Cricetulus griseus: one gene and its partner. The protein of the gene in region 2 interacts with the protein of the main gene of each other region in a biochemical or structural test. Links are inferred from orthologs where the notes say so. Each region holds a gene or a part of one and is shown on either strand. Other genes may lie near its edges.

What was found.
Region 1: the proteins of histone lysine acetyltransferase CREBBP (region 2) and Chuk form a complex in vitro, tested with the Homo sapiens proteins (2 studies listed by BioGRID, with this or other methods). The link is inferred for Cricetulus griseus from reciprocal best matches to the Homo sapiens genes CREBBP and CHUK.

Annotation. Positions count from the first base shown.
Region 1 is NC_048596.1:17,443,946-17,447,696, reverse strand, and holds the start of Chuk (inhibitor of nuclear factor kappa-B kinase subunit alpha), read right to left. Parts: upstream 2,457-3,751; coding exon 2,352-2,456; intron 1-2,351.
Region 2 is NC_048600.1:42,574,409-42,577,582, reverse strand, and holds part of histone lysine acetyltransferase CREBBP, read right to left. Parts: intron 2,382-3,174; coding exon 237-2,381; 3' UTR 1-236. UniProt on the Homo sapiens protein: Acetylates histones, giving a specific tag for transcriptional activation. Mediates acetylation of histone H3 at 'Lys-18' and 'Lys-27' (H3K18ac and H3K27ac, respectively).

The sequences.
Region 1 (3,751 bases), on a different chromosome or scaffold from region 2:
CCAATTTGAATTTCGATTCTCCAGGCATTTACCCAAAGTATTTGAACTCAGTGAAGTTGCCCTCAGTCTGCAGATGACAGCTTCTAGGGCCTCCAGAGGACGCTGAAATCTAGAGGATGCTGCCCAAGTCCATTGCAGTATTTGCACACGACTGACATCCATCCTCTCTGTCTGCATATGTTTTGTGGACGCATTTCCTGAGATCCCAAGTCCTACCCGACCAGATTATTTTCAGTGTGTGGCAGGTAGATCTATAGTACTGAGGATAGAACCCAGGGCCTTGGGTATGTACTTTATCACTGAATTACATCTCCTTCCCATACACACTTCTTTAAAAAGGGAACACTCTGTGGCCCATGGACCTCAGTCTCCCAAGTGTTCCCACCATGCCTGGCTTCTTCCAAATTCTTTCTTTAATGTATTATATGGAACTAGGTTTTTCAAACACCCTTTGAGAACTTGTACCCTATTCCCTAGGGAAAGTTCTTTGGCTACTCACACTGCCAGTACTTTCAGTGTCTAGGATTACACTGAACCCATGTTTATTTCTGAGACAGGCTGGCCTTGACCACAGTATGAAGCCCACTCAGGGGCTGGCCTCAAACTCAAAATTCTCTTGTCTCTGGACCCTGGGTGCTAGGATTACAAGTATATGCCACTATGCCCAGATGTACTTTGTGTCTATGTCAATCTCTCTCTGAAATTAAGTTTCCTTCAGGGTGGAAAATACTGTTCTTGTTGATTGGGGCGCCTTTAGTGCCCAATACAGAAATCAGCTAACACTCTTCAGGAGAGCAAAACCCTCAGTGGTAATACACTGGTTTGTATGAATATTAATTTTTTGAAGAGAAGATTCATAGTTTTTATTGAATTATCAAAAGACCCATGACTCAAACCTGATTAACTGGGGCTAAGGATGTGTAACCCAGGGTTAGACCATTTGCCTAGCATGTGCAAAGCCTGTGTTCCACTCCTACCATCAACAACATTAAAATAAGGAAGGTGAGGGTTAGCTTTAAAATCCTTTAAAAGTACAAATAACTGCTGTTGCAATGGTTAAACATTTTCAATTAAATCCAAGCAAATTTCCCGAACCTGATGTTAGTTGTCTTTTACATAACAAACCCGTCTTTTGCAGAACAAACCCCTCAGTCTATTTCCTTCTCTTTGAAGCAAGGATCATTTTACCACCTCACCCTCACACTGTTTCTTGCCTGGACTGGAATGTGCCAATTCCAGAGTCTGTCAATGTTTCCACAGGTTCAACTCTGGACACCAGGAAGGACTTTCCTTGTTTACTCAAGTGTGCGGGCAGGGACACACACAGAGATCCTTGATATTTGTACATACTCCTCGTCACCACACACACACACACACACACACACACACACACACACACACACTCACACACACACACAGAAACACATGGATACACACACAGACACACACACAGTCACACAGTGTCACACACAGACACACACACACACAGACACAGAGACACACACACATACACACATACACACACAGAGACACAGTCACACACACACACACAGACACGCGCACGCACACACACTCTCACACACACACTCACACAGTCACTCACACACACAGACACACACACACAGTCACACAGTGTCACACAGACACACTCACACACACACACACACACACACACACAGACACAGAGACACACACACATACACACACATACACAGTCACACACACACACACACACACAGACACACACAGTCACACAGTGTCACACAGACACACACACAGACACAGAGACACACACACAGTCACACACAGGGACACACACACACAGACACACACACAGTCACACAGTGTCACACACACACACACACAGTCACACAGTGTCATACACACACACTCACACACACACACACACGGACACAGTCACACACACACACACTCACACACAGACACATACACACACACACACAGTCACACACACACACATTGTCACACACACACAGACTCACACTCAGTCACACACACACAGACTCACACTCAGTCACACACACACAGACACATACACACAGAGACACAGTCACACACACACACATTGTCACACACACACACACACACACACACACACACACACACACACACACACTCCTCGTCACCACACACAGCTGCAGCAGCTTCCTCTCTCTCACCCGGCACCCGGCCGGCCACCAGGCTCACCAGGGCCCTAAGTGCGGCCGCGCTCGTTCACCGGCCCCAGCACCCCAAGGTCTCCACGCCCCCTCCCGCTGACTGACAGCCGCTGTCCCAGGGCCGCCCGGACCGACCCGGCGCCGCCGCCGCCGCCCCCCACCCCGCCTCACCCGGTGCTGGTACAGACAGACGTTCCCGAAGCCGCCGGTGCCCAGCCGCTCCCGCATCTCCCAGGGGCCGCCCGCGGCCGGCCGCAGCCCCGGGGGCCGCTCCATGGGGCGGGAGCGCCAGCCGCCTCAGGCTTCGCCGCCGGTCCAAGGCCGGTTCCGGGCCGCCGAGCTCGCGCGCCCTTCTGCTCGCGAGACCTACACGTCACTTCCGATAGCTTCCGTAGGAAAAGTCCCGCCCCCTTCTCCACCGGCCTGACACTGGGGATGCTAATAACTCGGAAGCGTCAGGCTCGGCGTAGGGTCGAATTCTCAGGGTCTGTACGCAAGTCGATGTGTTAGGGGTCACGGGTCATGAGTGGTACTCGACTGATTGATTCTATGATTTGCATGTAGTCCACGGAATTGGAATTATCAGACTTGAAGGTAATAGCAAATGAGCCTCTGAGAACAGGTCTCTTCTGGGATTGGTGCGGGCGAGTGGGCTGGGCACGAGCGGGTGCACCGAGAGGACCTTCGTGTGTGGGATTTTCATTTTGAGATTTGTGTGTGTGTGTTCTTTGAGGGTTTCATGCGTGTCTTTATTTTAACATAAATCTCTCCAAACCCTAAACGTCATATTCTTCGTATGGTCCCCACCCCGTCTACATTTTATCTTTTTCAGAGCCCTGCCCTACCGTAACCCACTGGTAAAGGCCACCATAAACATGAAAGAAACCGCGCTAACCGGCCCGTTTATTCATTACCCTTTCCGTACATCTTTTCAAAACCTCTTATAATCCCAAACCACCCAAAGATATGACGTTGTTCCAGGGTGAAAAGTTTCTTCCGGACATGTGAGTCTCCCATCCGACCTCACGGATCCTGCTGCTTCTCAGCCTTGCTGTTTCAGGCTTGCCAGTGCAGTGGTTCTGGGTTGGAATTGTTCCTGGATGCACTACAGGGTTGCAAAGACAAGCTTGGTGTGCTCTTGGTCCAGTAAGGCATATTTCTGAGTGGTGGGTTGCACAGGGGAAGGTATCCGCCTTTCCATTTGAGTGGGTTAACTGCTTCATGGAACCTAGGTGTTTTGTTTTGAGACGGGGTCTCATGTAATCCAGGGTGGTCTAGAACTTGTTATTCCTCCATCTAATTCAGGCTTGTCGCACTCCACCAGGCTGACAGTAGGGATGCTAATCACTCAGAAGTGTAAGACTTGGCATAGAATCAAATTCTCAGGGTCTGTATGCAAGTCGGTGTTGTGGGTCACTGATAATAAGTACCCGACTAATTGATTCTATAATTTTCATGTATTCCATGGAGTTGGAATATCAAACTTGAAAGTAATAGCAAACGAGCCTCTGAGAACCTCATTTGCTGTGTATGGCAGATAGGAGTGTTTCCAGTTTCCACAGATGGGATAT
Region 2 (3,174 bases):
TCACAGTCCATCTAGGCGTAATAAAAAGAGCCCAGACGCCTGGATTTTCAGTACAAAAAGTCCAAGAACATGAAAGGGGAGGGGGGAAAAACAAAACAAAACAAAACAAAAAAAAAAAAAAAAAGAAAAAAAAAAGAAAAGAAAAAAAGAAAAAAGAAAACAAAAAACCCCCAAAAAATAATAAAATAAAATAAAATCCCAAAACAAAAAACCAAACACCCAATGCTCTCATAATGCTACAAACCCTCCACAAATTTTTCTAGTGTGTCTCCCGTGGTATCACCAACCAGGGACAGTTCACTGGACAGCGCGCTCCTGTTGGGGGTATTCAGCTGGGGGAGCATTGCACTCTGTTCGGGGTTCCCCAGGTGTCCCTGATCCATGGAGCTGGCCATGGTGACTGCGAGTCCGGGGTGGGGGGAGCCAGTCTGGGGTGAAACATGGTGTGGTGAAGGCTGGGGCTGTATCCGTGGTGATGGGCTGGAATGTGGAGGCTGGGATTGGGGCCGTGGAGACTGGACAGGGGCTGGAGACCGCACCTGGTTACTAAGGGATGTGGCGATCTGCTGGCCGGGGAGATGCGAGGCCTGTGGCTGTCCTGAGAGCATGTGCTGCTGGGGGCTCATGGGGTTCGGCTGGCCTGGGGACCCAATCTGCTGCTTCATCTGCTGCTGCTGCAGAATCCGCTGCTGTAGGGCCTGCTGAATGCTGGGGGTGCTGTCTGCCCCCAGCCCAGGCTGCCCCATTTGGCCAAGTTGTCCCATTGGAGCAGCCATCTGGCCCATGGAGCTACCCTGGATGGGGAGGTGCTGTTGCATACGTTGCTGCTGCATGGCTGGGGCGTAGCCTCCAGGTCCTTGTGGCTGCTGGAACTGGCCATGTCCTGCCATGCCCCCGGCCATGCTGGCACTGCTTTGTTGCTGCTGTTGCTGCTGTTGCTGCTGCTGCTGTTGGTGCTGTAGCAGCTGTCTCCTAACCATTTCTCGGTACTGTGGATTCATGTTTGCCATGTTGGGGTTGTGTCCAGGGTTCATGATGTTCAGAGCCTGTCCCTGGGGATTCAGGCCTCCCATCGCCTGTTGCTGTGGAGGCACACCAGGCCGTGGCACACCAGCTTGCATTGCATTCAGGTTCTGCAGGCTGGGCTGCTGGTGCATGCCGGGCTGGGGCTGCATACCAGGCTGGGACTGAAGTCCAGGCTGGGGCTGCATGCCAGGCTGATTGGCCACATACTTGGCTGTGCGCTGTTTAATGAAAGCTGCCATTAGCTGTGGGTTTGATTTGAGGATGTTCAGCACCTGCTGCTGCTGCTGAGGGGAGCTGGGCGACTTCAGGGTCCGAAGCAGGTCTTGCAGGGCACTTGGCGAGATGCTCCTTGGTGGCTGCACATTGGGCATCCGTGGCCCAGCCACTGCTGCCTGGGCCTGCATAGACATCACAGGCCTGGGCATGCCTGGCATTGGCTGCTGCTGGGGGATGGGTGCCTGCTGCCATTGCCCAGGTGGCATGCTAGACATGACAGGCCCACTGACTTGGTTGGGACGGGGCACATTCAGGCCCACAGGGGCCATCTGGCTCCCTGGGGTTCCCATACCTGCACGCCCTGGGGGCATGCCATTGTTGATGTTTGCTCGGTACAGATGCTGCTGCTGCTGGGCCTCACGTTCAATTTGCCTTGCTGCTTCTACTGCCGCAGGTGGGGGCTGGGCAGGAGGTGGGGGAGCTGGCACCTGGTTGGTAGGCTTCCCAGCAGACACTATCGTTGGGGGCTGAGTCCGGGCTACATTAGGGAAGCCAGCTGGTGACATGTTTACAGGTGAAGGCTGAGGCTGGGCAGGGGGCTGTGGTGTTTGGGGTGTGCTGGGCTGCTGTGTGGGGGTCCCAGGTGGTGCTGAGGTAGGAGAAGGCAAACTCTGCTGAGGCACATTGCGGGTGTTCATGGTGGCCATTCGACGGCGCATGAGCTGGGCCTGCTGCAGGCGATGCTGGATCTGCTGCTGGCGGAGCTTGTGTTTGATGTTGAGGCAGAAGGGCACAGGGCATTTATTTTCTTGGCAGTGTTTGGCGTGGTAGCAGCAAAGAGCAATGAGCTGCTTGCATACGGGGCATCCTCCATTAGTCTTGCGTTTACAACCCTTGGTGTGCTGCACTACTCGTTTCATCTTCTGGCAAGATGGCAGAGAGCAGTTGGCATTGCGACACTGGCAGGCATGGACCAGGGACTGGATGCAGCGTTGGATGCTGAGACGCCGGGACTCCTGGGGGCTCTTGGACTGTGGCTCACCTTGACTGCTGCCCTCATCGTCTAGGCCCAGTCCCCACTTCACCATTTTATGGGTGTGGCTCTTTGTGTTGTAGCAATTGATACAAAGGTCATAGTCCTGTAGAGAAGCAAAAGGGACAGACCAACATCAGCATAGGCCTAGAATGAGCAGACACCCTTGGGCAGGGGAAATAGTTAGGCCTGAGGCTTGAGCAGTTATTAATGATACCCTTCCTTCTTTACTTCATGTGCTTTGGGAAAAGCATCAAGACCTCCCCTTGAGACTTAACAGCAAGAACTAAGAATACCATGGCCATTTATTCCAAGTACTACCAGAGGATATGAGACACTATCCCTGGGAGAAATGAATCAAATGATCCTTCCCCAAAACAGATAGCCCAAGTGGCTGAGAGATACTTGAACTTAGAAACTAAAAAGGAAGCATTAAATCTGAAGAAGGATGGGGGCTTGGGAGATAGTTCAGCGGGTAAGAGGATTGGATGGTCAAACATGAGGACCCGAATTTGGATCCTCAGCATTCACACAAAAATCCAGTGCTTGTATCGCAGCACCAGGCAGGAAAGAGGTAAGAGGACTGCTGGGGCTTGTGGGTCACCAGTCTAGCTAAGGTTCAGTGACAGATGTTTTCTAAGGTTATGAAGTAAAGAGTTACAGAACAACTCTCCTCTGGCCTCTGTATGTACACACAAAAATAGTTTCCCTACACACATACCACCCACATCCACACATAAATCTAGAAAGAAAACACAAAATCCTACACTTTGTGAAATAGAAAGAAGACAGAGAAGCCTGGAGAAAGCTAGAGGAAAATAAGAATTTAAAGGTAAGAAAGAAGGAAGGGCTAGGCAGCCTTTGTTTTGCCCAGGACAAGCTCTGCATGGCTGAAGACA